Oryctolagus cuniculus: one gene and its partners. The protein of the gene in region 3 binds, or shares a complex with, the protein of the main gene of each other region. Links are inferred from orthologs where the notes say so. Each region holds a gene or a part of one and is shown on either strand. Other genes may lie near its edges. The genes, in order: NR5A2, NR5A1 and NR0B2.

Region 1 (7,375 bases), on a different chromosome or scaffold from region 3:
TGAAGGCCGGTTCAAGTCTCGGCTACTCTGCTTCTCATCCACCTTCCTGCTAATGTGCCAGGAAGAGCCAAGTACTTGACCTCTGCTACCCATGTGGGACGCAACAGAGGGAGTTCCTGGCTCCTGCCTTCAGCCTGGCCCAGCCCCGGCGTCATGGCCATTTGAAGAGTGAACCAGTGGATGGAAGACCTCTCTGTCTCTCTATAACTCTGACCTTCAAATAAATACATAAATCTTTAAAACAAACAAACAAAAACAATGACTGGTAGGCAAACTATGGTTCTTCAGACATTGGGAAACATTTTCTCAATCAAAAAGGAAGTGAAATCATTACTTTGACTTTTTTCCAATGACAAAATTCAAACTTGCAGGTGAAAATCTGAATCTTGGAGAAGTTGTATCTGCCACTGTGATTTAGAAAGTTTTGCAATCCTTAGGACCACTGCTGAGATCAGGGGTGACACTGTGAGGACATGATGGGATTCTGCATTACAGAATGTGTCAACAGTTGGAAAATCCACAAAATTCAATGAACTCACACTTTTCAAATTACAATATACATTACAAGACTCTGCACACGTAGAAGATGCATTTGAAGCATAAAATAGGCCAACAAATTTTCATGTTGTAGAGTACAAAAAAGTTCACTAATAATGATTTCGGATTTTCAAGTTTCAACAAATCCTCAGGAAAATACTACTTGTGAAGTTCTAGTGCAGTATCAAAGAAAAATATCATAATTATCTGAAAAAGCTATAATACTCCTCCCTTTCTAATTGCACATCTGTGAGTTCATATTTTCTCACATACTTCAACCAAGACAGTATCACTATAGAGAGAACGTAGAAAGGGCCAGGATGTGGCAAAGCAGGTTAAGCCAACACCAGCGATGCCAGCATCCCATATGAGCACTGGTCAGAGTTCTGTCTGCTCTACTTCTGATCCAGCTTCCTGCTAATGGACTTAACGAAAGCAGTGGAAGATGGCCCAAGTCCAACGTGGGAGACTGGGATGAAGCTCCCAGCCCCTTTCTTCAGCCTGGTCCATCCCTGGCCATTGCAGCTTTTTTGGGGGAAATGAAGCAGTATATGGGGGATCTCTATGTCTCTCTCTCTCTCTTGTAATTCTGCCTTTCAAATAAATAAATAAATATTTTAAAAAATTTAGAAAAATTGCAGAAGCAGATATAAGAATCCCACTGTCTTCACTAGGCCAGACCTTTTTTTGGTCAAAATGTAACTTTTAATTAATTATTTTGTTTTTAAAAAATATTTTTAATCTATAGTATACCATTAGGGCTGGACATATGGCCTTGCAGTTAAAGTGCTACTTGAGATGCCTACATTTCCTATCAGAGTACGTGAACTTGAATCCCAGCCTGCTCCTGATTCCGGCTTCCTGCCGATGCACCCCCTGGGAGGCTGCAGGGATGGCTCAAGTAGTTGAGTCCCTAGCACCCATGTGGGAAACCTGCATTGCATTCCCAGCTCCTGCCTTTGACCCGACCCAGCCCAGACTGTTCCAAGTATTTGGGGAGTGAGCCAGTAAATGGGGGCTTTCTGTTTGTATATCTGTCTCTACGCCTCTTGGATAATTTCTTTAAAAGGTGCCATTAAACTAATATGTGGCATAAAGGGGTAAGCCAACACTTGGGACACCTGTATCCCACATCGGGGCACATGGAATTGAGTCTCACCTCTGCTCTGATCCAGCTTCCTGCTAACATGCCTGGGAGGCAGTAGATGATGGCCCAAGTACTGGGGTTCCTGCACCCCTATGGGAGACCCAGATGGAGTTCCTGGCTCCTGACTTCAGTCTGGTCCAGCCCCAGCTCTTGCAGGCATCTGGGGGAGTGAACCAATGGATGGAATCTCTCTTATTCGCTCTCTGCCTTTCAAAGAAATAAAAATGCATAAATAAATATTTTTAAATGAACCACAGTAAAAGTAAGTTGATATATAATGAGTTAGGTATTATTTTAATAAGTTAAATATAAATAATAAACATTTTAAAGTCTCTCTGTTTTAATTTTTAACACAACAGATACTAACAAGTATAAGTTGTATAAGCAACAGCTTTTTGGATTCCTAAATCAGTTAAACAGAACATTTGCTTTCCAGTCACATGTCCTTGAACATACACACGGGTCCACTTCTGGTAATATGCCATGATTAGTTAAGGAAATAACAGCAAAAAGCTGACAGGATAATTGTAATTACCCAATGCTTTTTCGTTTGGGTACTTATTTAGCTGTCTGGCTAAAAACACCTCAGTTGCCTTTCTCCCTTGCAGCTAATCATAGATGGGTATCTACCTGTGGTCCAGCGAGACCGACAGAGAGAGCCTGGTACTTTAAGGAAATGTTCTCAAAAAGGAACATGCTTCCTCCCCTCGTCCTCGATTCTGCTTCCTAAGAGCGATGGCTGGAACTCTAGTAGCCATTTTGGAACATGAGGATGAGAGTTAGCAGAAAGTAAAAAAGGAAGGAGTGTGGTCTGAACCAGACTTGAAGAGCCATTGTTCCATCTCTGGATTGCCCACCTCTCAACTCCACTTAGAAAAGAGAACTAAGCATCTTGTTTCAACCATGGTTATTCAGGTTTTTCTATAATATGTAGTCAAGACTAATTCTTAAAAAAATATATTTTGAATAGGAAAAACAGTGTATATAAATATTTTTATAGGATCGTAGACCAAAGGAATACAAAGTTACTCAATTAACAAAACCCAAAAAAGAAAAACAGCACACTTCCACAATGTGGGAAAAGACATGCATTGCTCTAAGAATCTGGATTTTATTACTTCGAATAACAGTAGGGATATTCAACAGAACAAACTATCTTTGGCCATTTGAGTACTACTCCTTTAGTGCTAAAGAGTAGCACAGATTTTCTTCATGGACCCAAACAAATAAATAACAACTTTAAAGTTATAGAAAAGCTACTTACACATTCGTCATCTTTCAGCATTAATCTCAAAGTGTAGGTTTTGCTTTATTGGGGAGAGGTTGTCCTTTTAACCAAATGTCCAATGTACAAACAAGCTCAAATGAACTCCTTCACTAATGAACAGTTACGACTTAAAAAAAAAAAAAGAAAGAAACAGGTGGTTGACCAAAACATGACTAAATAAATGGCCACAAGCCTGGCGTGGCAACCCGTGGTGTTTCAAAGTGTGGATCATACCTGCAGTCAGCCCTCCCAGAATTAATGTCTGTCAGTGTTTATCATCTAACCCATATTTGCAGAGGTCAGAAGAGCCCCGTGTGCCCTCCTCTATGCAAATAGCTGATGACATCAAGGGGCTATGTCACAAGCCTGAGTTTAGTTAGTGGATTTAGGCTGGTTTGCAGTTTTATCCACCAGGTCTGATCTGACCCTCGGTTTTACAACTTTCCACTCTGGGTGCTGCATAGCGCCTCTCCACTTCTGAGTTAATCATTTCTTTGCCATTATCTGCCAAGAGTTCTTATCTCTTCTGCTGTCACTTTATAACAGGGTCCGCTTATCGACCTGCATACAGTCATGTGGTCCAGTGAAGCCTATCAGAAGTTTCCATTCTTCTGATTAGAAACCATCGTGAAACTGGATACATGGTTTACAACAGGTCACTCACGCTGGAAACAGTACAGAGTCCAGGGAAAGACTTGCTTGTAACTTTCTGAATTCTGGATTTTTTTTTTTTCTTTTTCTTAACTTTCACTAAGGGTTACTGTAGTCTGATGTGTCTCTTCCCAAGGCCACAAAAGATGACAAGCTGTATTTTTTCTTGCGCTCCATGATTTTTGCTGTGAGCCAAAGGCCTGCCTGTGCTCTCACTGAGAATGTCTTCTAATTCGGACCCTGGGGATGTGCAACAGTATCTAAAGCGCGGACTCACACCTACCGGTAAGTAGCAGTCGCTCTATTTACCACCCAGTCACTATTGTGCTACTACTGAATACATGGAACTTAATCTCATTGACGGTTTTGCATTTTAAGTCAAGGATTTTCTTTGTGCTTATTAAAAGCCTATAATAAACCCACGCATATATTACACATTTTTCTTTTCTGCAGTTCAAAAAAGCCTAGTGGCTAATTCCACATATGAATATTGTTATTATTATCCACTGTTTTTGGACGTCATTCTATTAGCCCAAAACAGCCAGAAAATATTCAAAATAGATCAATTTTATCCTTAATAAATTCTGACAACTTCTAATAGGAAATAATAAACTAAAATTTGAACAACTTGGAACAAGCCAATCATACTGAGTGATCACTAATCAAACTTTATCATAGTTTTCAAGTCCCTACAGATACTGTAGAAAACTGGTATTTTTAGCAAATGAAAGTCATGAAAAAAAAATTAAGCATTAGTTAAGAATTAGAAAAATTGCTATCTTCTGTAAAAATAATGACCACGTCTTGCTTTTACCGAAATAGGTACATAGAGCTACTTTTCATTTTAAACAAGAAAAAGGACAGTCACGAACTTGCTCATTTCCCTGCAAGATTACATTCAGTGAATGCTAAGAGCAGAGGCGGGAAGGGCAGGGACTTGCAGGGCTCTGAGCAAAGCTCCGGGACCCGATTTTGCGGGGCCGTGCGGGGGCCTTGCGGAGCCCGGAGTCCCAGCGGCGCCACCCCGGGCCGGCTCGGGCTTCTCCCCTTCCCCCGGGGCTGCCAGCTGACTCCACCGAAGGCACTGATTGCCTTTTTTATGGGCCAACTACACCCTAAAGTACTCGTACATCAACTGAGGAAATGTTTACCAAAAAAAAAAAAAAAAGTTCTGTACTTACGAAAAAGAAAACACGGGGGAGGCACGCAGAGTGCACCCGAGAATCAATTGCTCTGCAGATAACAAAGAAAATGCGGGCGCAAGCAAGCGTGGCCAGAGAACCCCGGAACGCCTCGGGCTCCGCGGCCGGGCGGCCCCGCGGGCGAGCACTCGCTCCCTGCCGCCGCCAAGCCCTGCGCGCGTCGGGCCGGGGGCGCGGGTGGCCCGGGCGGCGCGCACGGGCGGTGCGCGCGCCCCGCGGTGCGCGCGCGGAGAGGTCCCGGGCTCCGGCTGCGCGCGGCTGCTGCAGGCCGTGACGGCCTGCACCGGGCTGGGTGGGGGTCGCGCGCGCGCCTCGCCCGCTAGGCCCCCCCACCCACCAAGACCCCAGGGGAGAATTAGAGGGGGAGGTGGGCGGTGGAGCTGGGAGACGCCCGGCCGCGCCCTGCGGGGCTGTGCGCGGGCAGGGGCGGGGCGCTCCCGAGCACACCCGCGGGTCTGGGATGGGCGGGAGGCGGCTGTTGGAGCCCCGCGGGGTCCCGCAGGGCCGGAGCCTCGCGTGGGAGAGGCACGAGCTCACTCCTGCACCCTGAAGCCATCCGGCGCACCGCCAAGTTCCGAGTTTCTAGTCAAAGAATCCCCTTCCCGGCTGTTCCTCGCAGCCGCCCGGCCCAGGCGCGCCCCTGTCCCCTCTGCAGATGCCGCAGCCCCGTGATGGTGTGGCTTCCCCAGGGGCGACGGCTCGCGGTCCTGGACGGTCTGTTCAGCCCCGAGGGCCGTCGCCGGGGCTTTTGGCTGGACCGAGCCGTCGAAAGGGCCGGAGGAGAGGAGAGGAGGCCACGAGCGGTTGGCAGGCTGACCCCTTTGAGTGGGTCTTTCTGACTACCCCGGGGCTGAGAAGCCACAGGTGCAGCTGCAGGGAGCGGCAGGAGTCCCCGGGTGGCTTTGAGAGGGCAAAATGCACGTGGGAGCGGGGGCGGGGGTGGGGGGAGTGGTGCCCAGAACCGAGCCAGAGCCTGCAGACGCCAGGGTCCCACCACCGCTGCATTTAATCCCCTCCAGTCCTCCTAGGAGTTGTGTTACTAAAAGCTATTTGCGTGGCCTTAGCTGTCGGGGTGAGATCCTCCTTGCACCGGGGGTGGGGGGGGGTCGGATGAGGTGTGTGCAGAATGACCACAGGTGTTCCTCCTGCCTGCGACTGGAACCACTCAGTGTGGCTTCAGGGCAGCAGACTTGGGCTGAGACCAGACTCTCTGCTTGGAGTTGACTGGCTCTGGGGTACTGGCCAGATTCTTGGTTTCTGGCCTACATTATTTCCTTTCTCCCAAACAGGCGGAATGATACCTAGTCCTAACTTAATAGGCTTTTTCGCCCTATCTGTATCAACCAAACAGCCATGTCTGTAGGTGGAACACAGGCTTATTTTATTGTGTCTATCACCCCCACCCCGATGCCAGTGTTCCCAACATTAGGCTTGAGTTGCATTAACTTTTACATAGTTCTTCAAAGTGCATGCACAGAATGCTATGCACGTTCCATTTCATACCATACACTATCCCCAGGACAAAGGAGTGTGTGATAGAAGGTTTGCTTTCTGGTCCCCTGAACACTTTTGGTGTCTGATTTTCCTTCAGAGATAACCTCTAGCAATGTCCAGGGTTATCTTAGATTCAGCCTTGAACCTGAGCTGAGCCAGAGAGGGGCTCTGGAACACAGAGGTCCCTGGCTCCCTCAAAAAAAAAAAAAAAAAAAAAAAAAAAAAAAAAAAAAAAAAAAGCAGCTGCAGGGATGATGTAGGCAGGGCAAGTGTCAGAAAGCAGGTCCAGAACCCACACCAGGATGCAGCTGCTCCTTGGAGTTGAACTTCCTCACTCTTAACCTTAGTGGGGACAACCTTCTCTGAGAAGTCCAGTTGGCTTCCAAGAACTTGAGGAGTTTGGGGAGTGTTGTACTCTGTGGAGGCCCTGGAGGAGAGAGCTGAAATATGACCAGTGTGAGCTTAAGAGATTAACCTTGAGAAAAGCAGGTGGACTGAAATTGACCCGACAAGTTGATAAAGGCTCTTTTTTTTTAAAAGCATTTTGGGAAGTTCTGTTATATGTATGTTTGTGTGAATGATAGGAAAGATATACTTAACACTTATAGTCCAAGTAACCTGAATACAGATGCCGTGGACAGATTTGAGGGTCCCTGAACACCATGTCAAACTCTGCAGGGTAATCAAGCTCACAAGCACCTGCCCCGGAAGGCTGCATCCTTACCCATCCTAGAGTGGCTATTGGCTCCCTCTTTTCTACACGATTTCCCTTATAGAAGATGAATCTGAGTGAAGTTAGACGGACTGGAGGAAGAAGAAGTGGCATTTGTTAGCCACAGGGTGAGCTGCTTACCCGGCAATGTCTCATTTATAAAGTTTACTTTGTTGCATCCATTTCACCCATTGAAAAGGTGGGCTCAGAAAGGTCTCCGTGTGGGGGGCGGGGCTTATAAGATGGGTGAGCTGCAAATAGAATCCCCCAAGTAGGATTCTGAATGCCAGGCTGTCTCCCTGAGGTAGTAACTGGCACGTGCTCTTGTTAATACAAAGAAATAATGATTTCCAGCAAAGTTGCTC
Region 2 (6,632 bases), on a different chromosome or scaffold from region 3:
CAGATGGCACTCCCTCCGCGGGGCGAGCGCGCTCGGGGACGGTCTGCACGCAGAGCCGGCCCTCCGTTCGCAGGACCCGGGCGCCAGCCCCGCATGGAGCCCCTCGGCGGCTCGCGGCTTTGGGGTGCCGCCGTCCCCGACACCCTCTCCACCCCAGGTCGAGCAGTGGAGCCCTTCCTCTCTCGGTCGCGGCCTCAAGACTGTCTCGGACGCAAGGCGGGAGCGGCACTGGGGCCGCCCCTGGCCAGGAGCAATTTCTCTGCGCGTCCTGGCCCCCGGGCTCGGGGGCCCCTCTGTACCCAAGGCTGCTGGGCCTCCCCTTCCCCCACTCCCAGCCCCTGCCAGGAGAACTCGGAGGGATTAGGGGCGCCTCTGCCCTTGGTGGCGCCGCTGGCCCAACTTCCGCGCCCCGCCTGGCCTCGGGGACTCCCCAGGCGCCTCCAACTCCGTTCGATTCGTATCCGCAGCAGAGCAAACTACGGTTCGTGGAGAAAGGGCCCTTCCGCCATGCCAGGCACGTGCCCGGCGAGTGCCATTCCGGTTCCTCCTCACCGGCGCCCCTGGTCATCATTCCCACTTCACAGATGCCGAAACTGAGGCCAGGCGGTGGGGGAGGTCCGCGGAAGGCCGCTGTGGGGAAAGGGGGCTGGGCCGAGGAGAGAACCTGGTTTCAGGCCTTGAACCCGTGCTTGCCACCACGCCCGCGCTCGCCCTTACCCACTTCCACGCTGCCAAACGAGAGGCGCCCCCAAGTTGGCCCTGGCCACGGCTAAACCGGGCTTGCAGACAGGCGCGGGTCCTCTCCCACCGCGGGTGCGGGGCTCGAGGCTCCCGGGCGCCCGACACCTGCCCGGATTCCGGGTGCTCCAGCTCCGCCGCGCTCTGGCTGCGGACGGGCTCCGGGGGCCGAGATGGTGATGGGGGCGCCGAGAGGGCCAGGGTGAAGACGCGAGCCAGGCTGGGGGGTGCAGGGCAGGGCGCTGGCCGGGCCGGGAGAAGATGCGGGCCCGTCCCCCGCCCCCGGATACCGCACGCTTCCATATAGAGGGGCCGGCCCCCTCCCCGGCCCCGCGCAGCGGGTTCGCGCAGCGCGCAGTGGCGGCGGAGGGGCCCGGGTCCCAGGTGCGCCTCGGAGCGGCCCTGGAGCGCGGGGGGCGGGGAGGCGGGGGGGGGGAGTGCCGAGGCCCCGCGCCCCCGCCTCCCCGCCCCCGGCCCGAGCGGCCGTCATCGCGGGCGGGCGGCGCTGTGCCCGGGTGCGGCTCTTCGCCGGCGGCGGCAGCGGCGTGGCCGGGAGGTGCGGGACTCCGTGCGGGCGGGACGCGGGGCGCTGCTCGCAGGAGCCGCCAGGTGGGCGCCGGTCGGACCGCGGCCGCCGTCACTCCCCATCTCTCGTCCCGGGGCCCCGACTCTGCGCGTTCCCTCCTTGGGACTTGGACTCTGCGCCCGAGGTCGCTCCGCCGCCTGGGGTGCGGCCTCCCGGAGCGCTCGGGGTCTCTGCCCGCGGTCCCCGCCGCGCCCTCTCCGCCCGACGTCTGGCACTCGGCGGCGAGGGCAGCTCCTCCCGTTGCCGTCGCGCCGCGGGCTTTGTCTCTCCGGCCCGGGGCCGGGCGGCTCGGCGCTCTCGGGCTGTCTTGTCCCGGGCGCCGTCGGGCTGCGCGCTTCTCGCCAAGGGCCCCTGTGCGGGTCCGGCTCTGCGGGGCCGCGCCTCGGCCCTCGGGCTCTCGCTTCGCCGTGGTCCGCGCGCCCCCAGGCCCCGACCCTCCTGCTGGGTGCCTCTGTGTCTCCAGGTTTCTCCCAGCGTCTCTGTTCTCTCAGCGTCTCTGTCTGGTGACTGTCGCCGCGTCTCGGACCCTGCGCCTGTCTCTCCAGGTTTTTCCTTTCTGTTCCCTTCTCGCCAGCCCTCCCTTGGTCTTGTGTCTCCATCAGGTCCCGTGCCTCGGCGACCCCGTGTCCCCGTGGTCGCCCCCGGGTTGGCTCGGGCACCGCGCGGCTGGGGGGCTCGCTCTGCCAAGCCGGGGCGTCTGCCTCTCTCCCAGCCTCGTCTCTGCCTCCTCGGCTCCTCGGAACGCTCCAGGGGCCCTGCGCCCCCACTCCGCCGGGGTTCCTCGGCGTCTCCGCCCGCGCCCGCGCCCGCGCCCGAACCCTCTCGTTTTCTCAGAATCCGGGTTTTGTTCTCAGACAAACGAATCCGGATCGAAGCGCATCGAATCCGAGGGTCCCAGATCGGGCGCGGCGGGGACCGCGCGGGAGGAGTCTCCAGGAGGGGCAGCGACGAGGGCCGAGCGCCGGCCAGGGCCAGCCGGGCACGGGCACGGGGACGCAGCTCCCGCCCCGCTGCAGGCTGCCTGGGGCGCCCCGGGGCAGAGCGCGACCGACCCGCTCGGAGGGCTCGTGGGGGCGGCGGCCGCGGGGTGCGGGGTCGGCCCAGCGCCCGCAGTGACCCGCTCCTCCCTCCGCAGGCGGACGCGGCGGGCATGGACTATTCGTACGACGAGGACCTGGACGAGCTGTGCCCCGTGTGCGGGGACAAGGTGTCCGGCTACCACTACGGGCTGCTCACGTGCGAGAGCTGCAAGGTGAGGCGGGCCGGGGTCCCGGGAGCGGCGGGGAGCGGGAGCGGGCGGCACCCCGGGGGCCCGCGCTCACTCCCCTGTCCCGCAGGGCTTCTTCAAACGCACGGTGCAGAACAACAAGCACTACACGTGCACCGAGAGCCGGAGCTGCAAGATCGACAAGACGCAGCGCAAGCGCTGTCCCTTCTGCCGCTTCCAGAAGTGCCTGACGGTGGGGATGCGCCTGGAAGGTGCGCGCCCGCGGGCTTCGGGCCCGACTCCCGCGGCCGAGCAGTGGGGGTGGGGTGGCGCTGAGCGAGGGCCCGAGGGGCAGCCCCACTGCCGGGTGGTGTGGGCCCCGGGCCTGCGGAGGGCCAGCCTAGCGGCTGCAGAGCCGCCCACCTCCTACCCCCACCGCGGGTACCCAGCACCAAGGCTTTCATGGCCTCGGCCAGTTCTCCTCCTGGTGCCCCCACTAATGGGCCAGCTGGCATCAGGCAGGTTCCTAACCTCTCTAAGCTGCCCCATCTGGAAAATGGGCTTACAGTAGCAGGACCCACCGCCCACCCCTCTACCCCCAGGTCTAGTGTTAGGATTGGCCTGCTTCACAGTGACGTGAGGACCAGCCCGGCAGGCGGTACCTGGCCATCGCCAGTATTGTCATCATGGTCCTTTCTGCTGTTCTCTGCCCACGGTCCCTGGCCAGCCCATCTTTTGTCCGTCCAGCCATCTGCAGCGTCACCCAGTCCTTTCACTGCGCAGGAGACATTCCTCCCCCACGTGCTCTCAGCCAGGCCCTGGGAGGGCTGGGAGTGGGGAGTGATTGCCGGCGGGGGACCCAGGCCCGCCTCGTCTGCCTGCCCGCAGCCCCCGCTCTCAGTGTAGGGACTGGAGCTCTCTCGGCTTGCACCCCGCTGGCCCCAGCCGGGCCGTGCGCCGAGCAGGCAGCTGTTGGCTAAAGCTTTAGAACGGCATAGAAGGCTCCCGGGGCTCGAGAGCTGCAGCCCACACGGCCTGCCACCTAGAGGAGGGGTCCCGGACGGGAGGGGGCTGTCCTGCCCTGTCCCCCAGCCCACATCCTAGCTCCAGGTCCCGGGGGAGCGGGACCCTGCTGTCTGCTCCCACACCACCATCCCTGCTCGTCCCCCCACTCTCTTCCTTCTCCCCGGGCTCAGGGTGGGGTCCTGTTTGCACAGGGGCAGGGGCCACACTCCAACTGCAGAGATGCACCTGTTGGGTCTGGCTGGTGACACATTCTTGGCCAGCCCAAGGAACATCTGGTCAGCAAGAGAGGTCCCCTCCCCCAGCACAGAGCCCCAGCGAGCCCTAAAGTCAGCTTCTGATTGGAAGGCAATGTGTGAGGCAAGAGGGCTTCAGTCAGTCCAGCTTCTGGTCGCCGAGTACCCGGATGTGAACAAGGCTAACTGGGGCCCCTTCCTGTTGCCATCTCCCTGCCAGGCCCTGTGCTGGGCACCAGAGCCCAGAGCCAAGCACCCAGGAGCTCTCGGCCTGTGGCACAGGGTACAATACACTCAGTGTGAAAAGGTTGGGCAAGGGGCAGGCTATCAGGGACAGTAGGTTCCGTGTGGGGGTGAATCCCGGAATACTTCCTGGAGATGCCTGGTTAAGGAGACTGACGTTGCTGGTGTGTAGTGAGTGTGGCAGTGACCTAGTGTGCTCTGTGAGCCCAGGGTCTGTGGTAAGGGCAGTGGAAGGTGGTGTGGAGGCTGAGCCTGACCCTCTGCCCCTGCCCACAGCTGTGCGCGCCGACCGCATGCGGGGCGGCCGGAACAAGTTTGGGCCCATGTACAAGCGGGACCGGGCTCTGAAGCAGCAGAAGAAGGCGCAGATTCGAGCCAATGGCTTCAAGCTGGAGACAGGGCCCCCGATGGGGGTGCCTCCCCCTCCCCCGCCCCCCCCGGACTACATGCTGCCCCCCAACCTGCACGCATCGGAGCCCAAGGGCCTGGCCCCGGGTCCGCCCGCTGGGCCACTGGGCGACTTTGGGGCCCCGGCACTGCCCATGGCCGTGCCCGGGGCCCACGGGCCACTGGCCGGCTACCTCTACCCCAGCTTCCCTGGCCGCGCCATCAAGTCCGAATACCCGGAGCCTTATGCCAGTCCCCCACAGCCTGGGCCGCCCTACAACTACCCGGAGCCCTTCTCCGGGGGCCCTGGGGTGCCCGAGCTCATCCTGCAGCTGCTGCAGCTGGAGCCAGACGAGGACCAGGTGCGCGCGCGCATCGTGGGCTGCCTGCAGGACCCGGCCAAGGGCCGCCCGGAGCAGCCCGCGCCCTTCGGCCTCCTGTGCAGGATGGCGGACCAGACCTTCATCTCCATCGTGGACTGGGCGCGCAGGTGCATGGTCTTCAAGGAGCTCGAGGTGAGTCCCCTCTCCCTCCGGGGCCGCCCCGCCCAGTGGCTTCAGGCGGTCTGGGGGCAGGGCGGCCGCGCCAGCCCCCACTGCCTCCCTCTCCTCTGTCTCTGATGGCCTCTGCCTCCCCAGCCCCTTCTGTCTCTGCTTCTCTATTCCCCTGTCTGGGTCACTCACAGCGTTTCTGTCTCCTCCTCTGAGACCCTGGGCTCCCTCGAAGGACCACGTGAGTCCCTGGGACGCAGTCTTGTTCCCAAGAGGCCAGCCCATCGTGTCCTCAAATGCCAGTACCTCTGAGCTTGGGCTGTGCGTGGGTCTTTCCCCTTCTGCCTGTGCATCGCGTGTGTATGATGGAGGTATGTGTTGGCGTGCGTGTGTGCGTGTGTGTGTGTGTATGCAGGGGAGCTAGGCAGGAGAGGAAGAGGGGGATTCCAGGGCTGCCACAGATCCCAGACAACCTCGCCTTCCTCTGTGGACTTCTCTCCCCTCAGTTGAGGTAGCTGGGGCTAAAGGAAGCAGAAACGCAGCAGGAGAAACCGAGGCCAGACATAGGGAAGGACTTCCCAGTCATTGGCCTCAGCGTGTGAAGGGCCTGAGGCCCCCCTCGTGCCTTGGCTCCTCTTGAGCCTCCCCAGAGGCCCCTCGAGCCTGTTCAAGGCTCATCCCCCTCCTTTAGCCCCGGCCTTTGGGGGCTGCTCTTCCCAGACTGGCCCTCCTGACTGCTCTGGGGCTGACCGTAAGTAGCAGGGCCTGTTGCCTTCCGTGCTGGGGCCACGGCAGCCTTGAGCGGCATTGTCAGCACTGACGCCATTCAGGCCCGGGCTTCCTCCAGGGCCATGTGGCCGGATGGGCCCGGGGCACTGCCTGCCCCACTGGCATGGAGGGGAAACATGGTGGGGCGTGGGCACCGTGCATGCAGGGGGCAGCAGGAGGCTGGGCCTGGGCTGACCCAGGCCTGCGCCGAGGCCAGCTGCTCTCTCCGGCCCCTCTGGGCTGGCCTCCTGCAGGGGTGAGGGGCAGGGCCTTGGATGCTCTCACCTGCTGTCACCTGTGGCTAGAGGCCCTGGCAGGGACATGGAGCTTAAGTCCTTCAGACTTCCCATGAGCCCCCTGTGCAGAGGGGGAGGAGCAGAACATTCCCAGCCTTCCAGAACCCTGGATCCAGGGGCGGGGCACTTCCTCTGGCCGCCTTCCTGCTCTCCGGGGGCTTGCACGCAGGATGGGAGGGGCTTTTGTCCCAGCTCCGCTGAGTGTTTTTTCCTGCTTCTGGCTTCTCTGTGGTCCAAACCTTCCTGCTTCCCCTCCCCAGAGCCTCTGAGCAGAGCCCAGGATGCACCCTGCCACCCCCACGTTGGTAAAGGACCCTTGCAGACAAGCACCAGCCCAGCACCTCGAACCTCACCTGTTGGCCATGTGGGGAGGGGTGCTGGGCTGGATCTGATTGCAAAGTTCGGGACGAGGCGGTAGAAAACCGGGGACAGGACTGAGTGGCCCTGTTGCCCCTCTGGGCTGGCCGTCCAGCGCCCCACCTCCGGGTGGACCTCATCTCCGGGTGGACCCTCCCAGGACAGAAGGCAGGATTCTCTGGCTCTGAGGGTGGGGCAGCCCTGGGGCTGGGCACTGGGAACGTCAAGGAGACATGTGCGGGCCCCCAGGGGACCAAGGGAGCCAGCGGGGCAGCCAGTGGCACTCCAGGCAGCGGGAGC
Region 3 (7,332 bases):
ATACAGGGAGGTGGCTGGCAGTTGCTTGTGGGTATGGCTAAGTCTTTGTGCGCTATCCTGATGTGGAAAGAACTTCAGGAACGTCCCCACCATTCACTGTGCATTGTACCCCTCACTGAGCAGGGTCTCATCCACACCTGTGTGGATAGTGATGGAGCAAGAAGCAAAACCATGTGTAATTTTTTCAATCACCACCACATGTATAAATTGTCATTTTCATGTTGACATAAACTCAAAAAGGATGTTACCTCCTATAAGGGATCTGAAGCATGTATAATCACAGATGCTCTGTGTATAATTTTATTGTTAATAGAAATTAGACAAAGTAGAATTTATCAAAATTTCTACTACACACATTCTCTCTCTCCCTCTTCTTCTCTCCCTCCCTCTCTCTCAAATTAAAAAAAAAAAATCCTGCTACAAACTTATGATCTGTACTGGTGCTAGTGACTGTGTGTAGTGGCCTATTTTATGTATCCTATCAAGAATAAAAAATTTGAGGCCGGCGCCACGGCACACTAGGCTAATCCTCCGCCTGCAGCGCTGGCACCCCGAGTTCTAGTCCCGGTTGGGGCACCGGATTCTGTCCCGGCTGCTCCTCTTCCAGTCCAGCTCTCTGCTGTGGCCCAGAAGGCAGTGGAGGATGGCCCAAGTCCTTGGGCTCTGCACCCGCATGGGAGACCAGGAGGAAGCACCTGGCTCCTGGTTTCAGATCGGCACAGGGCGCCAGCCGTAACAGCCATTTTGGGGGTGAACCAACAGAAGGAAGACCTTTCTCTCTGTCTCTCTCTGTCTAACTATGACTGTCAAAAAAAAAAAAAAAGAATAAAAAATTTGAAGACTGGTATTGTGGCACAGTGGGTTAAGCTGTCACCTGCAACCCTGGTATCCTATACCCAGTGCTGGTTCAAGTCCTGGCTGCTCCACTTCCTATCTATCTCCCTGCTAATGCACCTAGGAAAGCAGCAGAAGATAGCCCAAGTACTTGGGGTCCTTGCCATCAGTGTGGGAGACCTGGTTGGAATTCCAGGCTCCTGGCTTCTGCCTGACCCAGCTCCAGCCATTGGGGCCATTTGGGTAGTGAACCAGCAGATGGAAAATCTCTAAATAATAAATAAATAAATAAATAAATAAATAAATAAATAAATAAATATTTTAAAAAGACACTTTTTGATCAACCATGCAAGAGGAAAGATAAAATCACTTCTCTATTCTCACTGTAGAAAATAGTTTTTTAAAAATGATTGCCAGCCCCCCCCCCCCCGATCATGGGGTTATTCTCTAAGAGATTGATCCAGAGCTCTCTGATGAACTGGTTGATTCCAGGGACTGGGGAGGTTGATATCAGAAAACAAAGGAAGGTTCCAAGAATGCTGAGAGCAGATCAGGAGGGGGCTATCAAAGGCCAAATCTGTGACAATCTGGGCATCAAAATAGATAATGAAGGGAGGGTGTTGTGGCACAGGGCGTTAAACCACCACTTAGGACACCTGCATCCCGTATCAGAGTGCCTGGTTTAAGTCCTGGCACACTTCCAATTCAAGTCCCTGCTGAGGTCCCTGGGAAGCAGAGGATGATGGCAGGTGGCTGGCCAGGGTGGGCTGGGCAAGGTCTAGAGACCTCCTCACTCTCTCTCTCTCTAGCCCCATTGGCTACCGTCTGAGACGGATGTCAGGATGGAGGAGCCGTGTGGAAGTAGAGCGCCGTTTCTGTCCCAATCACAAGCAGGCCTGGCCCCACTCTGGGGGACTCAGGCCCTGGCTGCACAGTTGAGCCGGTGCGTCCCGAGGAAGGAGCCAGGACTTTAGGGTCAGGCAGCTCAGGGTCCCATTCCTTCCTGGAGGGATGGCTTTGGACACGTCACGTCACCCCTTTGGGTCTCACAAAGGAAGAATCCGGAGTCAACACTAGCTCTCAATATTGGATCGGAAGAGGCCTGGCCCCCAGCAAGTGCTCAATACAGGCAGCTGTGGTTTGTGCTCATTCTGGAAGGACTTTTCCGCAGCCATGACCTTTCAGGAGCTCTAGGTATCCAAAACTGGGACAGGGGAGTCTGCAGCATTGGGTTTCTGCAGGGCCCCCAGAACTGGAGTCAAAGGAGGGGCCACACAGCACAGTGGGCAAAGTCCTCCCAACCCCCCCACCAGGGTCCTGGCTCCCTTCCCCACAGCCTGTTTCTTACCAACAACACGAGCAGGGCCCCAAGGTTAGGCAAACAAGCTAGTGATAAGGCACTTCCAGGCTGGGCCTCGCACTCAAGGCTCGTCCAGCTCCAGAGCTGGCTTCCAGGCTTAGCAAGAGCACTGGCCTTGTGCACACGCAGGAGCAGGCACCTTTAGGGACACCAGCCACAGCCACATGCTGATTGTGCACCGGAGGCCTTGGTGCCCTGGTACAGCCTGGGTTAATGACCCTGTTTATCCACTTGAGTCATCCGATAAGAAGCAACCGGTCAGCAGGCAGGTGGCCCTGTGCCCCGCACTGGCTACTTCATTGACTGAAGTGATATCAGCGCCACGTGGAGCTCCTAACGGCCCCGCCCTCGCCACTTCCCCATCAGTCCTGCCAGGGTCAGTGTGCGTGTGCGTGTGTGTGTGTGTGTGTGTTTCAATGAACATGACTCCTGGAGTCAAGGTTGCTGGCCCATTCCTCCCTCCTGCCCACTGGGGATATAAATAGCGCTCGCAGCACAGCACAGAGGGCAGAGAGCAGGGAGGCAGTAGGAGTGGAGCCGTGACCATGAGCTCCAGCCAACCAGGGGCCTGCCCGTGCCAGGCCGCCGCAGGCCGCCCGACCATTCTGTATGCACTGCTGAGCCCCAGTCTCAGGGCCAGGCCCTCTCTCCCTCCATCACGCAGCCACTGCCTGTGCAGGGAGCATCGGCCCGTCCGGCTCTGCAGCCCTCATCGCACCTGCCGGGAGGCCCTGGACGTTCTGGCCAAAACAGTGGCCTTCCTCCGGAACCTTCCGTCCTTCGGCCGCCTGCCGCCCGAGGATCAGCGGCGGCTGCTGCGTGGCGGCTGGGGCTCCCTCTTTCTGCTGGGTTTGGCCCAAGACATGGTGACCTTCGAGGTGGCTGAAGCCCCTGTGCCCAGCATACTCAAGAAGATCCTGCTGGAGGAGCCCAGCTGTGGGGCCAGCAGTGGCCAGCTCCCCGACAGGCCGCAGCCCTCGCTGGCTGCCGTGCAATGGCTGCAGTGCTGCCTGGAGTCCTTCTGGAGCCTGGAGCTGGGCCCCAAGGAATACGCCTACCTGAAAGGAACCATCCTCTTCAACCCTGGTGAGCTTCCAGACACTTCTGGGTGGAGCTGGGAGGGGGCACGGGGCACCCTCCGAGGGCTCAGTATCTATTATACTACTGGGTCCCACAGGGCCATCTCACACGAGGGGCTGAGTGGCTAGCAGGTGGGAGCAGAGCAGGCGTGAGAACTCGGGCCGGGCCGGGCCCCCTGACCCTTTGAGGGGAGGGCGGCTGACACAGCCGCGTCTCAGCACGCTCTCAAGGGCAGGTGGCGTGGCGAAGCTTTGAAGGCTAAACTCCCGTGTGGGGTCAGAAAGTTCCCATGGCGGGGGGGATGGGGTGGGGTGGGGTGGAGAATGAAGGAGGTGCGGGGGAGGCAACTCAGCGGGGAGGGCTACAGATAGAGATGGAGATGGTGTCCTTTGTAATCTGGGGGCAGCTGAGGAAAGCGTGCCATGCCAGAAGGTCCTTGTGCCCACTGACTGCCCTCCCCGCAGCAGAACCTCATGGTGTGGTTACCATACGGACCTTTAGATGCGCTAACTCCTTTAACCCTCACGGCAAGTCTTGGAGACAGGTGCGGTCATTATCATCTCCACTATACAGATAAAGAAACTGAGGCACAGAGATTAAGCACCCTGCCCAAGGTCACTCAGTCATCAATGATGGTGCCAGAAATCCAATCCAGGCAGCCCGGTCCTTAACCCTTACCTTATATGGCCTCGCTGTCGATGGATAGATAAATAAAGTGATAAAGAAATCGATGGAGGAGGTAGTAGCGGAGCCTTGAAGGCTGAGCCGACGAGGCAGGTGATGCCTGCTGGTGGCGGGGAGAGGGTGCTTACCAGACCTGTCCGTCCTCTCTGCTCACAGGCGTGCCAGGCCTCCAGGCCACCTCCCATATCGGGCACTTGCAACAGGAGGCCCACTGGGCGCTGCGTGAAGCCCTGGAGCCCTGGTGCTCAGCAGGCCAAGGCCGCTTGGCCCGAGTCCTTCTCACGGCCTCCACCCTCAAGTCCATTCCGGCCGGTCTGCTCGGGGACCTCTTCTTCCGCCCCATCATTGGAGACCTGGACATCGCCGGCCTCCTGGAAGACATGCTCCTGCTGAGGTGACATGCTGTGGCCCAGGCAGGGGTCAGCCATAGCCTGTGCAGACGCTGGCCATGCCACTTCAGCCTGCCTGTCCCCAGGGGTGCCCCGCTGCTCCTGCACAGCCCCTCTCTCAGCCACCTCCGGACTGGGACTTCCTTGGCATGGACGTGGCGCTCCAGCTGTCTGGCAGGCCCTCTGTGGTCTCCAGAGGCTCTGCGCCCAGACTCCTGTCCCCTCCTGCTGATGGCAAAGGACTGAAGCTGCTCTTTGGGCCGGGGGAGTCCTGCTGGCTTTGTACAGAACTGAATTTAAGTTATTGGTTTTTGTAATAAAAGGTGTGACACTCTCCGAGCCTGCCACTGTGTTTTGGGCACACGACAGGGACTGTCTCACCTCCAGGGCCCACCTGCTCCTATCAGAGGAGGGCAGGGGTCGTAAGGGGCACAGGAGCCAGGCCTCAGGAAACGGGGGTGTGAGTTGTTCTGGCTGGGATGGCGATTTCATCTCTGAGATGAGATTCATTTTGCATGTGGGGGAGTTCTCAGCACACAATGTCACCTCCTTGCCTTTATCCTTGGAGCGAGAAGGCTCTTCTCCCTGTCCCACGCCTTCCACTAACCCGTCTCTCAGCGCCCGAGCCCTGCAGACTCCCTCTCTCCTCAGTGAAAGTTGGATCAGAGCCGGTCAGGAAGCAGCCTGTTCCCAAATTGAAACAGACCAGGTGACTGCAATGTCTGCAGCTTGGGACCCGTCACTTGGCCCATTCCTGCAGCTGGTAGCACAGGGGGGTCCATTATTTCCCAACAGGAGAGGGCAATGGCACCCGGGGCTGGCCTGGCAGCTACTTGGAGGCCAGGGCAGGCCAAGGTTCCGCTGGCTCACGATGGTGTGGCCTCATCTGTTGTTGGAGTCTGAAACACTTCCGCAACAGTTGGTTCAGGGCCACCACCTGTAGCTCCCTGAGTGCCCTCGCACCGCCCCTCTCCCATTATCTGTTAACCCAAGAGCCAACGCGTGCCATAGCCATGGCCTCTGCACTGCTTCATTCAGAGCCGGGCTTGGGGCTGTTCCGATCAGCCAGTGTCTGTGCCTCATCGTTCGTTAAATATTTGAACCCACTCTCCCCGGGGTCAGGGTGACTGACCTGAAGGGTGGACAGGAGGGAGCGATGACAACACCCTCGCCCGCGGGACTTCCAGGCCTCCTTTCCCCAGCAATGAGGCTGCCAGGCCCCGCCCCCATCACCACCACAGTTTGGATTCTTCTCACGGGGGCTGTTAATTATTGCCCAGTGAGAGGTCATTCACTTGGGGACAGCAGCCTGGGGGGTCATCATCCAGGCCTTTCTCTAGGGCCTCCTGCTGGGACCACAGCCGAAGTTGCCTGTAGGGGTGCCCAGTGCCAGCAGCAAGCAGCAGCACCCCGTCCCTTACCCAGCACCCCACATACACACACACACAAGTCAGGCACCAGAAAGACACAGAAGCACAGAGCTCCAACCACACAACCAAGACCCACGTAACTCAGCCCCGCAGCTCTGCTACACACACACACACACACACACACACACCCCAAGACGTACAACTCAGACCCACCCCAGCAGGCCCATGACACTGAGCCTCCATCTGCCTACACACACACTCACTGGGAAACACACAGGAGCCCCAAACACATTCACAGCAGACACGGGCCCCCACGCCGGGCAGCTACGCACCCCAGGCCGAGCACACTCCAGCTTCGCAGAGAAGGGAAAGGTGGCCCCCAGAGTTTGCAGATCTTCAGGGCCTGCCTAGAGCCCGCAAGTCCAGACCAAGCTGCTCTTCCAGGCATCTGAGGGCCTCATCTAACCAATAGCCCCTTTTACCCATGGTGACCCCGAAATCCACCCCCAGCCCAGCCAGAACCTAATGCAATCCCCAAAAAGAACAAGCCCTGCATCACCCCCGCTCCTGCTTCCCGCCAAGCCCCAGGCCTGCCCTCCCCTCCCCAGTCCTTGCTGACACACAAAGCCACTGGAAGTCACAGGACCCAAATTCAGCAGAGTCAGGGGTCTGGGGCCGTCCGGCATCTCTGAAGCCTTTTTCCCGACGGCTTCTGCTAACTGTGGAGCCTCTGAACCCTTCCTGCCTCTCGCTGCCCACGCCCCTCCTCCAGCCCTGACCAGTCATCAGGAAGCTGTCTTCCCCCTGTTGCCCCCGACTCCCCACCCCTACCCCCAGCTCCCAGCCTTTCACCTTCAACTCCTTTAATCTTCCCATCATCCAAGGAGCTTCCCTTTGTACCTCTCCTTTTCCAGTTTCTCCCCTGCCTTTCTACCTGGCTGGGGAGTCATTTCTTGTTTTCATCTCTCAAGTCCTTCCCCGCACCCTGCCTCCTAGCCTTGGGCATGGGACACAAAGACAAACATGGGAGAAGCTCAGAGACATTATGGTACAACGAAACCAAACAAGGGTACTATGCTCTTTCAAACAGATGGCAGACTTCCTGGAGGTGGAGGCTCTGCCTCCAGTGTCACATCCTGGGACACAATGGACGTGTGTCTCATTTCCAGGGAAGGAGGAAGAGGAAACAGGCCCAAACCGAGAAGCACTTACTCCAGATCTGGGTCCATCGCCATCTGTGCTGAGATTTGAGCTCAGACCTGTGTGGTTCTGGAGGCCATGTCCTTGCCACCAGTGCAGACTGGAGCGAGTGATGGCCAGGGTCAGGCTGTCTGGAGCCAGCCCAGCCACCCCTCAGGCATGACCGCTGTCCTCAGGCCCAGCCAGGGGTGACTGACTGGAAAGCAGGAGAGCAGCCATGGCTCCAGGGCAGTCCAGGATACCCTTTTATTGCCATCATTATCTCGATCTTCATTAGCTGCGCGCTGCCCCTGCACTGACTCACCCTGTCCTTGATGCCAGCAGAAACGGCCACACCACCCTCCGCTCCCTGCCTCGGCAGCTCTCGCTGTCTGCTTAAACCAAACCCCACGCTAGATGCTGATGGTTGGGGCAC

What was found.
Region 1: the proteins of NR0B2 (region 3) and NR5A2 are in contact, whole or in part, in a crystal structure (PDB 1YUC), measured with the Homo sapiens proteins. The link is inferred for Oryctolagus cuniculus from reciprocal best matches to the Homo sapiens genes NR0B2 and NR5A2. Residues at the interface, in NP_068804.1 of Homo sapiens: Arg17, Pro18, Ala19, Ile20, Leu21, Tyr22, Leu24, Leu25, Ser26, Ser27, Ser28; in NP_995582.1 of Homo sapiens: Phe354, Val357, Arg361, Phe366, Val371, Asp372, Gln374, Met375, Leu378, Gln379, Asn529, Asn530, Leu531, Glu534, Met535.
Region 2: the proteins of NR0B2 (region 3) and NR5A1 are in contact, whole or in part, in a crystal structure (PDB 1YMT), measured with the Mus musculus proteins. The link is inferred for Oryctolagus cuniculus from reciprocal best matches to the Homo sapiens genes NR0B2 and NR5A1. Residues at the interface, in NP_035980.1 of Mus musculus: Thr19, Ile20, Leu21, Tyr22, Leu24, Leu25, Ser26; in NP_001303616.1 of Mus musculus: Ile275, Val278, Arg282, Phe287, Val292, Gln295, Met296, Leu299, Gln300, Asn450, Leu452, Glu455, Met456.

The regions. Positions count from the first base shown.
Region 1 is NC_091444.1:16,220,229-16,227,603, forward strand, and holds the start of NR5A2 (nuclear receptor subfamily 5 group A member 2), read left to right. Parts: upstream 1-3,575; 5' UTR 3,576-3,823; coding exon 3,824-3,887; intron 3,888-7,375. UniProt on the Homo sapiens protein: Orphan nuclear receptor that binds DNA as a monomer to the 5'-TCAAGGCCA-3' sequence and controls expression of target genes: regulates key biological processes, such as early embryonic development, cholesterol and bile acid synthesis pathways, as well as liver and pancreas morphogenesis.
Region 2 is NC_091432.1:228,371,153-228,377,784, reverse strand, and holds part of NR5A1 (steroidogenic factor 1), read left to right. Parts: intron 1-2,459; 5' UTR 2,460-2,474; coding exon 2,475-2,576; intron 2,577-2,661; coding exon 2,662-2,803; intron 2,804-4,309; coding exon 4,310-4,935; intron 4,936-6,632. UniProt on the Homo sapiens protein: Transcriptional activator. Essential for sexual differentiation and formation of the primary steroidogenic tissues. Binds to the Ad4 site found in the promoter region of steroidogenic P450 genes such as CYP11A, CYP11B and CYP21B.
Region 3 is NC_091438.1:144,599,415-144,606,746, forward strand, and holds NR0B2 (nuclear receptor subfamily 0 group B member 2), read left to right. Parts: upstream 1-2,465; 5' UTR 2,466-2,739; coding exon 2,740-3,280; intron 3,281-4,114; coding exon 4,115-4,356; 3' UTR 4,357-4,681; downstream 4,682-7,332. UniProt on the Homo sapiens protein: Transcriptional regulator that acts as a negative regulator of receptor-dependent signaling pathways. Specifically inhibits transactivation of the nuclear receptor with which it interacts.